Linked DNA regions of Mytilus edulis. The protein of the gene in region 1 purifies or fractionates together with the protein of each later gene. This does not show direct contact. Links are inferred from orthologs where the notes say so. Each region holds a gene or a part of one and is shown on either strand. Other genes may lie near its edges.

What was found.
Region 2: the proteins of nudC domain-containing protein 3-like (region 1) and kelch-like protein 9 purify together in Homo sapiens (co-immunoprecipitation; 3 studies listed by BioGRID and IntAct, with this or other methods). This does not show direct contact. The link is inferred for Mytilus edulis from reciprocal best matches to the Homo sapiens genes NUDCD3 and KLHL9.

Annotation. Positions count from the first base shown.
Region 1 is NC_092352.1:85,867,535-85,876,727, reverse strand, and holds the start of nudC domain-containing protein 3-like, read left to right. Parts: upstream 1-5,503; 5' UTR 5,504-5,596; coding exon 5,597-5,703; intron 5,704-9,193.
Region 2 is NC_092346.1:2,233,760-2,242,514, forward strand, and holds the start of kelch-like protein 9, read left to right. Parts: upstream 1-4,801; 5' UTR 4,802-4,933; intron 4,934-7,773; 5' UTR 7,774-7,784; coding exon 7,785-7,977; intron 7,978-8,755. Other genes in the region: kanadaptin-like, read right to left, coding at 1-599.

The DNA.
Region 1 (9,193 bases):
ATAAACAAACGACAACCACTGAATTACAGGCTCCTGACTTGGGACAGGCACATACATAAATGTGGCGGGGTTAAACATGTTAGCGGGATCCCAACCCTCCCCCTAACATGGGACAGTGGTATAACAGTACAACATAAGAACGAACTATAAAAATAAGTTGAAATAGGCTTAACTCATCAGATGGACAAAAATACAAGTAGACGTGGCCGGGTACTTTTACATCCCGACAACAAAAAGACAGTAGGAACAGATCTGAGAGTACTCGCAGTTATCTGACAGCTAGTTCAAAGCCACTAACAACTAATAAAAAAATCAGCAGTATATTGAGAAAATTCTTGATTATTTAACGAAAAAATATCATCAAGATAACGGTAATTGTTGTTGAATTTATCAATTAAATGCGATTTCGACAGGTCTTTATTGAGTTTAGTCATAAACTGTGATTAGTAACAGTACAAAAACAAGTCTGCTTTTAAAGGGGCACAATTAGTACCCATGGGGATACCTACAACCTGTCGATAAACTTTTTTCCTGACTTGGTACAGGACATTCTAAGAAAAGAAATGGTGGGTGTAACCTGGTTTGGTGGCTAGCCAAATCTCCCGCTTTTATGGCAATATTAAATGTAACATTAAAATGACAACATTGCATGACAGGACTACAATACAAACAAATGGGAGAACATATAGGACAGAGAAACACACAAATAATAGCTAACAAAAGGTACCAGGTTTATATTTTAATATTTTACAAGACGCGCTCCTCGTCTACAAAAGACTAACCAGTGACGCTCAGATCAAAAAAGTTCGAAAGCCAAAACAAGTACAAAAGTTTTGCTCAACATGGTCAAGGTTTTCTGCCTGGGATAAGAACATCCTTAGTATCTAAAATAATTCATACTTTTGTAAACAGTTAGTTAATAAAAGTGACAATGTATATAAGAGAGATACATGATAACATCAACTGGAAGTGGTGACTAACTACAGAATAAAAACAAATACATAAAACAACCTAAACCAGCACATAAAAAGTCACAGCCGAGTTAGCCGAAGAGATCGACGCACAAAGTGACGTCACATTTGAATTTCTAAAAAATAAAAGGGATAGAATTAGGATAGAATTCAAAAAGTAAAATCACAAAAATACTGAACCTAGAGGAAAATTAATTTGGAAAGTCCATAATCACATGGCAATTTCAAATAACAAAACGCATAAAAAACGAATGGACAAGAACTGTCATATACCTGACTTGGTACAGGCATTTTCAAATGTAGAAAATTGTGGATTATAGTGCTAACCCTTTCACTTTGATGACAGTCTCATCAAATTTCGTTATATTTACATTGATGCGCTAACTATTAAACAGACACAATAAATAAATAGTTAAAATATGGGTACATCAGTCATCATCGTATAACAATTTTAAAATGGACAATTTAACAGAACACAAAAACTTCTATCTACAAACACATTCATTGATTTGTGTGTCTGACGTCAGAAAATTTTATACGTCACATAAATTTGTCGTTCAATGTGCATGCAAACAATTTTCAAACAAAATTTTAAAATTTACATAGGCAATGTTAGCATATAGGGTTAAAAAACAAAAGTTTTTAAGAATAAATATCAGAAATAGACCGAGATTGAAAATAGTCCAAAAGTTATGTATAGAATTTATAAAAATCCACAAATAGTTAATTCCACTATCAGTCATCATCGTATAACAATTTTAAAGGAACTATTTAACAGAAAACTGTAGCAGGAACAATTCTGCTGAAGATTCGGGGATGCGGACCACAGCTTGGTCTGGTTTGTGAATTTAATTGTACGGAAACGACTGATGCCAAATGTAATGCGCTAAAGTATATCTGAGTAAATAAAAACCAAAAACAGTGAAAACAATATATAATTTAATCAACAAAGTACAACTTTTATTATGTAGAGCCAAATGTATGAAGAAATGGAGCATTCAATTATTTCATATTACCCGGGCTGTGGAGGTATGTAGCTAACGCACTAACCTTAACGGTAGTTGGAAAGTTTAGCTTTCCTTGGTTGGACTGACAATCAGTCCTCAGAATATTCGACACAATAATCAAATACCAGTTATATAAAATATATTTATATATAAATTTCTCACAGAAGGTAACCAAAGATTTTGCAACGATGCAAATATCAAACTTTACAATACAAATAAATATCTTTAACCAATGAATTCAAATAGCAAAAGCTATGCGATTTAACAAATATGTACTGAATAAGCTTCATGTAAATCCTTAAATAAAGAAATATGAAATTTATAGTTTTAAAAAAGGGAAATAATAATAACATAATAATCCCAACTGCCACAAAACAAAAACAGCTATCTACAAACACATTCATTGATTTGAGTGTCTGACGTCAGAAAATTTTATACGTCACATAAATATTTCGTTCAATGTGCATGCAAATAATTTTAAGATTTACATAGGCAATGTTAGCATATAGGGTTAAAAAATCAAAAGTATGTAAGATATGGTGTGTAATACTGCTATAGCATTTATTATTTACAATGAAAATTACAATGCTTATAAATATAAAATTGTAACAAAGCATATTTTCAAGGGCTTTAAATTAAAGCAACAGTTACGGTAGTTTATCGATGTTTAAATATCCTAAATCGATCAAGAAGAGGCAAATTAAGGTAAAACACAAAAAGGGGGAATCCGATATACTAAGAATATAACTGATCAAGACCGTGTCAGTGAACAGGGTAAACACCTCCTGCTATGCATGCATCGCCCACCATGCACGTATGTATACACTGTCAAAATGTCATAACCGGAAAATTACAAAACGACTATATACTGGTATCTAGTTTCTAAAACTCACAAAATCTGAATTCCTCAATTTACATCTAAAATTTCTCGTGAACATCCAAGGTCTAAAAGCGCAGGAAAAGGAATGAAGAAATGGGACATTTAAAACAAACAAGTCGAAAAACATTAAAAAGAAAACTTGCGCCTGAGCAGCACGAATCCTTACCAAAAACCGAGGGTGATTATCCGGCATCAGATTATTAGGACCGGTCCACATGTGGAACCCATCGTGTTGCTCGTGTAGTAAGTCAGCAAAATATATAAATGTCACAATCGAAATAAAAGAGGACATAGCTGTATTTTCGACTATTGGAACAATAAGTTGTCATGTTACCAAATTGTCAACCAGCTGATGGTGTCCACAAAATTCTATGTTATTTAATTGGTTATCAAAGGTACCAGGATTATAATTTAGTACGCCAGACGCGCGTTTCGTCTACATAAGACTCATCAGTGACGCTCATATCAAAATATTTATAAAGCCAAACAAGTACAAAGTTGAAGAGCATTGAGGATCAAAAATTCCAAAAAGTTGTGCCAAATACGGCTAAAGTGATCTGTAACTGGGATTAGCACTCTTCTATAAAGACAGTCACTACCATCGTTCCATTTGTTATGAGGCCTGAATTTACAAAATTTTTGTATTGAAGAACACCATGAAATCGAAATGTAGAGGTCTTGAAATATTTGAAGTCAAATTATCATGGTAGTTTTACTGAGTCAGGAATATGACAATTGTTGACAATCGTTTGATGGGTTTGAGCTTTTGATTTTGCTATTTGATTATTAAAGGACTTTGCGTTTTGAATTTTCCTCTGAACGCAGTATTTTGGTGATTTTAATTTTTCCCACTTCCCACACACCTGAGACTACTATTATAGATTATAGTAGTCTCAGCACATCCCTTGCAATTCTATGTCTCATTGTTCTATTTATCTAACCTACTGATTATTCACTCACCCAATTCATCAATTGCAACTATTCATAATAGCTCTACTGCAAGGCCAGATTATCTCATACACCGACATTCTGCCTCTCTCACTCTCCCATTAACACTGTCTCTCACTCATTCACGAACACATTCGGCAAAACACTTGCACAGGCATTTTTTTTATTTGCAACCACCCACATATTCAATTGTCAATCTTTCATTATTCCACTTTCCCAGTTAATCTCTTGCCCAACTTTCTAACAATTAAAATGGCTATAAAAATACAAAAGTTCTACTCCCTCAGGACAGTCCATCGGATAGGACACAACATTCTAACATTTTCTAAGAACGGTTGGTATCCATCCATTCCGTTTTACTGTACTTGAACTGAATGAATTTATGAATGCCCATGCTACATCGATCTTTAAAGACCGATTACATGTGTGCCAATCAGCTGTCCTATACTTCCAGGATAAATACGTGGTTGTCCCCGCATATAAAACCGTAAAGAGTTAAAGTAAATAAAATGACAATTCACATGGAAATCAATATATTCCCGTGACACTCGACTAGTTGGAAATTCTGATTAATCATAGATCTTTCTATAGAAATTTCAATCAAAGACTAATAATTAACTGGATCTTCTTTTACTGTATTGAATACGTTAAGAATATACGGTGAGGTTTTGGAATTTGTGTCAAATGTTCGGACTCCTTGGGTTTTTTTCTTTACAATACAATGGAAAATATTTTGCCCCATAACACTCACTTATTTTTTCATATAAGACTAAATAGCTGATGAAAGGTCATTTAGCAAAATTTTAAAAGATTCTTGATTTTCTTTCTTTTGTTTGAGACCCAAATAATACCAATGCAAATATAAGGTAAAAGTCTGAGTCAGCCTTTTCCCGACATATTCTAAATCTCAAATCAGTGGCGGATCCAGAACTTTTCATAAGGGGGGCCCGCTGACTGACCTAAGAGGGGGGGGCTCCAGTCATGCTTCAGTGATTCCCTATATAATCAACCAAATTTTTCCCACAAGGGGGGGGGGGGGGGGGGCGGGGGGGCATGATCCGCCTATGCAAATATCTCGAAAAGGAGGTCCATGACCTATCCAGGTTCCAGATAATGTATGATATTCAACAAACTTATCATATAATTTGTCTTGTCTTGATAATATCAAATAATTTAATTTTGGATGTAACGCGTCTTCTGATTGGCTGACGTTATTTTTTTATCAGCCCATAGACATAATTTAGTCATGTAACCGTGAAGTCATCAACGTTTTTTCATGGTTTTCGAAATAACATAAAATAAAATGTAGAGCACACTGTTAAATAACCCGCTACGCGCGTTATTCACCAAATTTTTTATGTTATTTCTTCATAGACAGAAAAAGTATTACAGTCATTCCTTAAATAATTTCAGTACTGAAATATCCATCTTTACTAGTCACTCATTACATAGTACATAAAGTAACTGTCGATGTTTTCAGGGGCGGATGCAGGAATTTTCGAAAGGGGGGGGGTGCTAACCCAGGGCACCCAGGGCAAAGGGGGGTGCAAAACATATGTCCCGATACAAATGCATTGATCGGCAAAAATAAAGGGGGGTGCGCACCCCCGGAACCCCCCCCCCCCCCCCCACCCCTGGATCCGCCACTGGTTTTGAAGTGATCCATGGTTACTTACGAGTGCTCCTTTTAGGAGGAACGTATATGGAACAATAACAATGACCGTTGATACACGGGTGTCTTTCCCCGTTAGTGTGTTGTCCGTTAAAAAATAAAAATAAGACGAATTACGATGGACGATAAAAACCAACAATATGATAACCTTTTGATTGGAATTCTTCAAAATGAAGGCAATATTTCTGGATTTCTTGACGCGGTATTTGGTTTTTTGTTTAGAAGGTTTGCATAAATATTTTTTTTTATCTTTTTGGCAACATCATATAACACAGGCACTTGTTTCCTTGCTTCTATCCATAGGAAGGTCGATTATGGATAGTGGACCTTCCTATGGGTAGAAACAAGTGCCTGTGCATCATAGCCTGCATAAGTATAGCAATCACTTTTCAGTTCATTTGCAGATCTGATCAGGAGCTCTTGTGGTTTGTTTTTGACAATTTGCAGTCCATACATGTAGTTCTTAAATAACTAGTTAAAATACTCAAATTGTCAAAAAAAAAATATAATAAATTTTGGGCAAAGAGCTACAGAAGGAAGAAACACTTAAAAAAAATGCATATGATTCAATATGATTTTGTGGTTATTCAACATTAAATTGATTAATAATATTTTTTTTCAATCTGTTCAAAATAAATACTAATCTACAATGTACATGATCTAATCATAAAAAGTTTGATTTAAAAAAAAAAAAGTATTGTTCCTGTCAAAATTTGCAATTTTTAGTTTTTGTTTAGTTATAGAATACTTAAATGACTTATAAGAAGGCATACATATATAAACATGGTGACATCCCATTAGTCCGACAGCCATTATTACGACAGCCCTTTACTCCGACAGCCCACTATTCCGACAGCCCATTACTCCGACAGCCTATTATTCCGACAACCCATTACCCTGAAAGCCCATTATTTCGACAATGCATTTTTCTTATGTGTATGGGTAAATTTTCTCTAAAAAGACCAACTCCGTTCTCTATGATATGTGTGGTTGTCCGTCTTGATTACAATTATTCTTTTCATGCGGGATATTTGTCTCAGTATATTGGAGTTGATACACATGCTTATAGCAACTGCTCAGTCCTTACCCTCGTCCCACTTTCGTTTTACATGTCTAGGTACTTTATTTATATTTATATTTCGTTGTTTGTGTGTCACAACCGTCTGTGCTGTTCTAGTTCGCTATTTTTTGCATGTTCGTCTTGGTCTACCTTCTTTAACTAGATCTTCGGTTTCTGCTTTTCATGTATCAGGGGAGTGAGGTTTCCCCCACTATTAACAGTCAGGGGACTTACTGAAATAAGTGATTTTTAAATCACTTGTTTGAGTAGCAAATTCGAAGTTTTGTCACAAATTGTGATTTTGTAGTTTTACCAAAATTTTAAACACATAGGTTTAAAAAATATCTTTTCATTAGTAAAATTGAAAAAAAATATGTATTTTTTCCTTCTTTTAAGTATCAAGGTTTATGCCTTTGATGCTTTCATTTAGCTGCAAATTCTATTTTAGTTGAAAAAATACTATAATAATGGCTTTACATAATGAACTGATACTTTCTTAACAGATTTTTCCCAGGAGTGGGAGTATTTTTCCTGTAAAGTTCAAGGTTTTATCTTTCAGATTATGTAATAAAATTCTACTGTTCCCAATAAAAATTTCACTGTTCAGGGGTGTTGAAATTAGTGGGGGTTGTATAAAACAATGATACTTAAAAAAGTGATTTTTGGGAAGGAAATTGAGGTATGATACTTAAACAAGTGATTTTTATGTCATTATGTAGATTCAGTACAAGGTCATCACCTGAAATGACCTGGTCATCCTAGACAACACAGATGTTGGTTCTGATAAGTTTAGAAACATAATTAGTCCCTGGATCATTAGTATTCTATATTTAAAGCTACAGTAAAATTAAATCACTTCTTCTAGTGATTATTTTGTACTACTTAATTAGGTGATTATTAAAGAAAGACAACTCTTACTTTCAACCTTTATGGAAATAATGTTACTTGAATCAGTGATTTAGAAAATCACTCATTTAAGTAAGTCCCCTGACTGATTAACTACATAAATGAATATATCGGAGTTGGATAACACTATCCGCCCTCTTTGGTTGCAACACTTTCTCTCCTTGTATAACGCATCTGAGTTTTATTTAAATTAATTTTGTAGCAGAAATAACGGACTAATGTAGCGTCAGTCAGTCTGTCAGTCAAAATGGGAAAAACAAAGAGACAAATACATAACCAGATCTGTAAAAATAAGAATACAAACAGGACAAAATATGTGCTCAGAAAAGATGAGCAATTCCAATTAAATGTATGAATACGGTAACATGTTCGGGAATGTGAATCCACGATATACGGAGATACAATGTAGTGCACAGCACTTCCAATAGCGATTGATCAGACATAGTCTGGGAGATGAAACTCAATATATTTGTAGGGATACCGATTTTATACCCTGAGCTTATTTTGAAATCTAGAAAAATATGTCTCTTTTATTATGGTTGGTGGAGATGCAGGAATGATGATTTACAACAAAACTTATTACGAAAAACAAATATGACGGACATGAATATTTCGGCAACTTCTATCTAAATATTTATAAGGAAAAGTGATATCGGGTCAGTGAAATTCAATGTACATGTATATGTCATAGAAATATACAGTCAACGCATTTTGACTGCTCAAATCGAATGAGTACAGTATAAAAGCCAAAAACAAACTAGTAAAAAATCTAAGATAATGTGTGACATTCTTGTACCTCTTGTCTTTGACAAATTGTCTAATTTTAAAAACTTAGTACATTATGTGTTTTGTTGGAAACTTGACACTTGTTTTTCTTTTGAAGATTGTTTTCAAGAAGAAAGAAATGTTTAGATATTATTGATTTTAAGAAAGGTAGTTCATATCTTAATTCAGAATCGGTGCTCTTCCATTACATTAAGAATTGAAAATGCTAGATACTAAAAAAATTGTATTGTACAGCTGATAAAGTTGAGGATGAGCGTCATTTTTCAATCCAATGCTCACTTCATAATAATTTGAGGGAGGAACTCTTTCACCATATTTCTAGCACATGTAAGAACTTTAAAAAGTAGATATAAGTATGATGAATTTTCGATGTTAACACAAGAAAAGTTTACTATTATGGGGGAAATGATGATTACATTGTTAATTCTTTTAAATTATATAGTGTCTTGATACTGACTGTTATTTGATATCAGTGTGTTAGTTGTTTTTTATCTATTTTGTCTTGGCTCCGATTGTGACTGAGGCTTATAGTGCTATAAAGATAATTATATCATATTAGTATTGTAATGTCTTAATGTTGACCCAATCATTAGACTGCCGCTTCGAAAAAGTGGAGGTGCACTGTTTTACCTCTGTCTGTCCGTCCATCCAACCGTCAGTTCGTCCGTCTGTCCCATAAATATTTTCGTTGCATGTTTTTCATGAACTACATGTACATTACAAGGATTTCTGAAAGGTTTATTGAAATCGGCTATATCCTGTGATGCGTTTTCAAATTCATTACTCATTACATGACAGCCAAGTTGAAAATTGTCGTCACATTTTTGTCAGGAACGACAATACAATGATTTTTGAAATTTGGTTTCAAAGTTTATAAAAGTCAGTTATCATGGTTATACTGTGTGATGCATTTTCAGATTCACAACTCAAAAACTTCCTGTCTACCGAAATGTTTGGGCGGGG
Region 2 (8,755 bases), on another chromosome or scaffold:
TAGTATCTGTTAGCATACACTCTATTTTTATTTATCCATGTTCCATGAGTACTGTCAAGATCATAAAGATACCAGCCAATGTTCTGCTTTTCAGATTTTATTTTAGAAAATTGAAGAACAGCATGATGTCTTGACAATGACGGATGTTCCATTGTAACATCACAACTTTGCAGTCTTCCAAACACATAAAACGATTTGACTAAATCTATTTTGTCAATAATGACCCCATTTTTCAAAACTTCAAGACTATATTTGTCATTACTAATTCCTCCCCAAGATGGCTCCTTGTACGGAATAGGTGTTGATGTCTCTTTCAGTTGTTCCGCTGGGGATAATAGGCTCAGTTTGTTTGGGATAGTTCCTTTGTCGTCAGTTTTATCTATGGCTTCTGTAGTGCCATTATTGGGTTCTAATGTGCTAGTAGCTATTTCATTTTGTTTATATGTTACTATGCCTGGGACTTTGAATGTATGTGTTTCCGCCATTTCGACAGGGACAGTGTTCTTTTCTGGTTGTTTTTCGTCACCACAAGTTTCAAACTGTGTACCAAGTTCACCATTAGCGGTCTTCGACAAATCACCAACGTTTTCTTCGGCCATGATTTTTGGAATTATCTCCCTTTGGCGTTTTCAAGTCCCTTGTGTACTCAGACAAAAACATCTGCGTTTTCCATTTGACATTAGACTGGTATAAATAAAAGATCAGAATAAATACAAAAATCAAATTAAAAACACTGTCAAGTATCAATTAAACACAAATGTATACCGTTAAAATATGTGAACTATGTTCTAAGCGGCAAATATAGGGTGCGTTCTAAAAATCCTTCTTGGGCGCATTAGATTCATACACATTAAAAAACATTTAACGCGAACATATTTTTATGAATAATTAGGTAGCCAGCCATAAGTTCACAAAATCAATTCTTTCGGTATTTAAAGAGTTCAAACAACCAGTATGAACATCCAAGAATAATAGTCTGATTGTTTGATTGGAATGTCGGAGGTGTACTGGTAAATTTGTAAACATTTAAATTTGAGAACCGTTTTCAATAGCATTTCCAGCAAAAGTAAATATAAAAAACTACAATTCAAATAAGTGAGTATAATGAGAAAATACTACAACAGATAAAATGTACGCCTATATAAGGCAGCAACCATTTGATTTTCGGGGGGGGGGGGGGGGGGGGGGCTATGTTTTTTTTTTGGAAAAAAAGTTTGTTTCCAGTTTTTTGAGAAAAAAATAATTTGTTTTTGATTCTGAGAAGAAAAAAATTGTTTGTTTCACCCTCAGCTGCCACTATATGTTATGCTAAAATTGAAAGAAAAAAATGGTTTTCGACTTGTCGTGAAAAAAAAAAATGTCCAGAAAAAAAAACCCATAGCCCCCCCCCCCCCCCCACCCCGAAAATCAAATGGTTGCTGCCTAACAATTGAAGTTTTTATACATACTTGTAAATTATTTTGTATCTTGCATATATATATATACTATATAGTCATCACAGTTCACTATTTGTTCACTACATGTTAAGTCGAAAGCTTCTTCCTAGGACGAGAAAGACTCCGGTGCCGGAGTGTGGAATATTTTGGAACTGTGGCGCTATCTACATGAAAATGGAGGTCGAAAATTGTGATAAAATTAAAATTAAATGATTTGCCACAGTTCAATTACAATTAAATTAACATTTGTTGTAGCTTTATGTTAAACATATTCACATTATGTACAGTGGCTTAAATACAATAGTTAATTAGCCAGACAGGATCCTCAAAATATTAGATTGAAGATACCATGATTCTCAGGGAGAGTGACATACAAATTGCCTCCCGGAGATCATTCCAAACAGCAATAGTGCTTGGGGGAAAGATGACTCAAAATAGTCTTTATGTAGGCCGAAACTTGTGTTGTCTTCTAGTACGCCTGTCATATTGTGCCAGGTAGTCATTATTGAATTCAACAAACAACAGATAACAGCAAACGTAACAAATGAGCAACACGAGCCCAATTAACACAAGAACTTGGGCCGAGTTCTGCTGGTAAAGGTAGATGAGGTGTTCTTGTCGGGTACAGGACAAATCGGCTCCAGGTCAATTCGTTACCAATAGAAAAGTCAAACGTGGTTAGTCAATTTTTCTTTCCATTTAATTTGAGTATAATAGCCATTTTGTTCATAAATAAATAAAGATTTTTGAAAAAAAATAGAGTTTGTTTGCTGTTTAAAATTTACTCAATGATCTTATTCATGATAATTCGTCCTTAGGTATAACAAGATGCGGTATAAGTGCCAATGAGACAACTCTCCATCCAAGTTACAATTTGTAAAAGTAAACGGCTATATGCCAAAGTATGGTCTTATTAATAATTGATTTTAAAAACTTCCAAATTTATATCAAGCAAAAAAAAGATTAACCAAATTGTTGTTTTAACTATTTTGAGGTAGTTTTTGATGTTTTATTACTACTAAATTACAAATTTCCATTGGAACTTCTGTTATGCATGACACATAACTTGTTGATTTATTATATAAAAAAAAAATTAATTTACTTGCAAAACGTAATGTTAATTTTAGCTGCCGAAATCACTACCTTGCGTGCCGAATTAACCGGGTCCTAATTAGACTAGATGCTGAATTGACCATATTTGGTGTTGATTTGACGAGGAATTCTAGTCGGCATTTCGGCACCAGATCAAATCGGCACCCAGTTTAGTCAAATCGGGAATTAGTTAATTAAGCACAGAAGTTACTTATTTCGGCACCTTTGATTAATTGTATGTTTTGCAAGTAAACATTTCGCGACGACGCTTTAATAACTCCGGTTGTGCAAATTAAAAAAAAATTACCGGCCCAAAAAGCGGCCATGCCGTTTCTAAAAGACGGAGAAATCCGCCGAAGAGCCGGGAGATCAAAGGAAAAAACTGGAGATGAAAAAAAATAGATTAAATACAACTTTGACAAAATTGAAGAAAATGGTAATAGACACAGAAGAGAGTACTGACAGTAAAGCATGGAAAGACGGAAGAAGAATTGTGAAGCTTTAAAGTCTGGCAAAAGCGCTGAAAAATTGTCAAAACTGCACGGCCGAGCTGAATCTGCTCAACGTAGAGAAAGAAAAATTACAAGGACGTGGGAGCTATCTTACTATTCGTTGCTTTAAGTGTAATATGCTGAATAACAATTTAACAAATAAGACACATTACGGAACAAAAGGACCTGCTATTTTTACATCAACACAAAAGCTGCAATAGCTAATTATGAGTATTAATACATGTAGCTGCTTAACGTCCAGCGGCAAATATTTAATTGCACATTTATGACATCAACATGTTATTTTAATGAAACTAAAAGAAATGAGAAAACGTATATGCACCCGTGATTAATTAGAAATTTTAACAAAATCTATGGCGCATATGGTGGTTGAATCGGGTCTGGTTTTGGAAGATTTGAAATATATGCATAAAAGTAATTACTACCGTGGTGTGCAGTAAGTTCAAACCGAAAGACATTATAAATGGAACTCCAAGAGTTACAGACAAAACAACTATCCTCAACAAATTTGTGCAATATTTTTCATGACGAGAACAGTTATTTTCATTCATTGATAATGAAGTCTATAATACTATCTTGAAAGGAAAAAAATCAGAATCAAAATATTTTTTATTTTTCATGCCAGTATAGCAAATTATATAGAGAATTGTCATTGTACGGCCAAATTTAACAGAATATCAATAAAATAAGAAAACCGACTGCATGTGCGAGACCCTCATGGGTGGACAAGGTCGTATAACACCCCTATTCGTAAATAAAATAATAAATAAAGAGAGCGTCTCATCCTGTTCTGGACTTGAAATTGGTACATAAAAAAATTGCCGAGTTTAATTGATATTTTAAAAATATATGATACTATATGTATGTAGAAAATCTGTCAACAAAAGTCCGTTTACAAGATTTCAAAAAAATATATTGGTATCATTTTTTGGTTTGATTTTAAGCAAATTGGTACCAATAGATGCAGAATTGTCACAGGTTAGTTTGTTTAATTGGTTGTATTTTTTGCGTCATTGGTAATCATACCACGTCTTCTTATTTGTATAAACATATCCCTATTGTACTTCAACATATTGAGAGTTCAAAATTAAGGTATCGGCAAATGTTCACTTATCTTAGACAGACAGACCAGAAAGTGTATATATACACACGTTAAAACTCGTCGCTGTTGTCAAGCTAATGAGCAAATATGAACTCATTCAGTGAGGTTGTTTCTGAGAAAAGGAACAAACATATTGTTATACGATCAAACAGCTCTACTTCTAAAGTAAACAAACGAGTAAGACTATAATCATACATATACGCCGTATAAAAGGTAATGTAACTTATCTATTGATAAAGACATCGTTCAATATTATTCCGTCTAATACCGGCTGCTGTACTTCCTATGAAATGTTATACTACAACTTCATTTTCCCTCGTTTCAATCCGTCTGAGCGTCATTATTTTTGATATACTTGTCGTATATTAATTTTGAGAAATATAATGAATTATATCAAATATGCATATAGCTGAGAAAATCCCGGTTTATCTGAAAATTCTGAGAAAAATCCGGATAATCTGAAAAAAAATCGAGATAATCCCGGGTTTATCGGAGCTTAATGTAAAATACTGAGAAAATCATAGTTTATCTGAGAAAATCATACTTTATCTGAGATAATCTATGATTGATTATCTATAAAATGGGTTCAGATGTGCCATATCTATCACTTCACAATTTTTATAGAACGCAACGTTGATGTTTACATTTTTCCCGGACACCGGGTTCAGTACACATGCAAAATTTGCATGATGTCATTTCCGATAGTGCTGTCGGTCATGGTCATCCGTCATGGGCTGAAAATAAAGATGACAGTGTTTACAAAGCTTAAGATACATGTGTAGGATGTTAATGTAAGCAGTCACAAGCATTTTATGCTATATGAGACGTTTCAAGAGCTGATAAATGCGGTCAAAGCCATTTTTCAGTCTCCTTAACGTTAATAATTTATTGGATGCAACTTCTCTGCAAAGTGACTTCATAAAGTGATTTTAGATTTCCCCTGGGTTATTTTCATCATATATCCATCCTGTATACTATATCTTACTTCTGCTTTGCCAACTTTGTATTGGGAATTTATAGACTTAAGTTATTTTTTGTCTGTTCAGATGTGTCATCCTGAAGTTCTAGTTATTTGAGCTACAAATAAGTTAGATATTGCCATTAAAAGTCTGAACATTGTTAACTTGGGAAGTTTAAACCTTCAGTTGTTGATTTTATAGACTCACTTGAGCTTGTAGTTGTATATCCTCAATCCTCAATCTTGAGGCCTGTTGGCACGAATTGTCCCAATGTGCAGTTTTCCTCTCTGGTGCGTTTTCCTCAACGTATTTTCTTCTTTGTGCTTTAAATTGGTATGCGCTGGTTAAGATTGGAATTGATGAACAGCAGTATTAAATCTGCCTGTTCTGTCGATGTAATGTGGCACTGTTTGTAGTTTGGCTTTTGTGTAAAGGAGTAAGTTTGGTAAGTGCCATATTTGGCCCCAATTATAAAGTTCATGGTTACAAGACAAAAATTGTTTTAAGTTGCCTTAAAGACATGTGAAAAAGTTAAACAGAGCTGTTTTTGTCAAAGTTTAATTCTAACACAACGATTTTTACATTCCAAAACGGTCAAGATAAGGGATTTTGGTGAAATTTGACAAAATCAGCGGGATTTCAACCAAATAAAGGACCAGGAAACATAGAGCACAGGCGTCGACAAGCTTAATATTCAAATAAGACATGTTAAATGTCTTCACAAACATTATTTTAAGGGGGTTCGCGGGTCTAAATCATTTATATAGGATTTCTCTATATTTTTCTATAAATGAACTTTATCTTAGAGTTAACAGAAAAATAAAATAAAAAAGTGGGGTCACCGTTCATTTGCGCTCACAATCTGCCTTCGAAAGAAGCATACATTTTTGTAAAGGTGTTTTTTTTCTGTTGAAGTAATAGGAGAAATAAAGGTAATATCGAAAAAAAAAGAAAGAAATTTATTACAGAAATCGCTCAAATTTTACAATAATTTAGTTTAAGTACAGCTTATATGGAAATTATATTAAAAAATATAGGTCACCGATGAGTTAAAAAAGACATTTCAATTTTAAAGCCAAAAAATGGCATTTTTCCACCAAAGGGAGATAATTTGGAACTTTTTCAATGATGTATACATTTTAAAAGTCATCTGGGGCCAACAAAAATTGTTTGTTTTGAATGATTTTTGTACCATATGATAAGTAACAACTACAAAAGGTAACAAATAAAAATTTGAAATGAAAAACAAATGTTTATTTTTTTTCTGAAATTTTTATACCCTCGAGCCTCCTTAAAAGATCTTTGTTGTCGACGTATGTGCTCTATGTTTCCTGTCAAATAATCTTTGGAATTTTACCCATTTTCATTGATTTTTTCGTGAAAAATCAGTATGAGTACAACTTGTGACGTCATAATGAAACGCAGAAACGTAAAATTTTAAACAAAATGGCTTATTTCCTATCTAGTCAATGTATTAGCTATAATTTATCGTGATATTGGTCAATAAATCCGAATTTGAAATTTACGCTAAAAAAGTGGGCCATTTTAGGACCTTATCGAACATACTCCTTTTAAAGTTGTTTATTAAATTTCCATTATCTTATAACATGTATAATCCCCAATATTGTAAATTATTTTCCACCAAATGATCCCTGCCATTGATAATTATTGCATTATGATCATGACGACCCTTCGAAAGCATGAAATGTTTTAGTAATGCTAATGAAAATATAGATTAAGATACAAAATCTTAATTCTATTACAAAGAAAAAGGTTCAACAAATCATACATGTGCTTTTATTGATTTACACAGTAATCCATTAGCTCCCGTTTTTTAAAACAGAACATAATAATAACAATTATTGACCATTATAAATCAACATAGTAGTTAAAAAGTAAATACCTGATTATTAACTGCAACTTGCTGTAACTTGATAATCTGAAGAAATTCCATTACATGATATATACATGTCATAATTCAGAATTCATTTCGTAGTAAACAATCAAATAAATACTCCTGTTTACATTCAGAATTGCATGGTTTAAATGTATTACTATCATGACTATGGAATTTGCAATTTAAAACTGACATTATAACCATTTCAATTTTAAACTTTTGCCCTTCAGAAATCAGTATTCATCTTTTAACAGGTATGAAACTTCTTGTCATTAATGATTTGCATCAATCCTCAGTTTGTGAATTCTTTATTGGATTTGCCAATACTACTAAGGGGATGGTTGACAGAAAACTGAGCCTCATTTTGAAGTCCTAACATATTTACCAAAATAGCTGGAAAATGACTGCCAAACTCCTGACAGGAAAAAAAAATTGATGCTAACTTGGATAACTATGTTAAGGCCAAATAAAAATATGTGTGGTTCCAGTGACCCTACCTTCCCTACTTTTTTGTCTTGAAATTAGCCTACCCTAAAGATTTTATTGTCATTTTTCATTAAGCACTGTTAAAGTCAGAATGAAGCTCCCATAGACTCAAGGTAAAAAAAAACCATAAAATTAAAAAAAATCCCTACCTTCCTACCCTAACTTTTTTTCAGATGTAACTGGAACCAGGGTTTCAGCTAGGATTTTGAAACCTTTACTAATGTCCCTGGATTAAAAATTACATAATGTACATGATAATATGAATGCATAGTTATCTTTTTCTTTACAGAATGGGGTTAAATGAACCAAGTTGATTGTTCAGCTACAAAGAAACTAAAATTATCCAATATGGCTGAAGAAATTGCTCAAGATAGCCCTGCTATTGAAGTGTGTCGTGTGGAGGAAAGACCTGAGCATGGAATGATGATATTACAAGGCCTCAACAAACTCAAAAATGATAAAATTCTTTGTGATGTTACACTAATTGCTGAAGGTTAATTATATTATATTTATTAGTATGTACAAGTCAGATGTTGTTTAAAAACAATATAATTAAGAATGGAAATTGGGAATTTCAAAGAAACAATAACCTGACCAAAGAGCAGATAACAGCCAATGGCCACCAATAGGTCTTCAATGCAGCGAGAAAATCCTGCACCCGGAGGTTGGCCTCAATACATGTAGAAAATCCTGCACCCGGAGATGGGCCTCATATATGTCAAAGATCACCACTATCAACATTCAATATATTTATAGGCTGATAGATAAATTATATGGTTCTTGAACATTGAAAACTTTGACTGCACAAAATAAATTACATGGTTCTTAATATACATTCAATTTATAGGCTGCAAAAGATGAATTACATGGTTTGTTTACATGATCTGAAAAAAATCTACTGTTGACTCATATTTAAAAAAAATGCAATAAAAAATGAGATATCATATATGAAACAATGGAAGCAAAATAAATGCATGCATCAATTAAGACAATTTCTAAATGTTCAGTAATTGTAAATTTCAATGTACAGTATTTAACTGAAACTAGTAAAGATCTCCCATCACCACCAAATTCCTGAATATAAAGGGACATAACTCTATAGGATAAATGATAAATAGATAAGCTTTATTTAGAGTCAGCATAGTCATGATAACTACTGGAAAAAAGGCTAATCTAATTAATGTGATATGAACTAAAACAACTATTGACAGTCATATTAACTTGTGGAGTACTTACCTTCCCCTTTTGTCTGGATAAAGATGGAATGATAT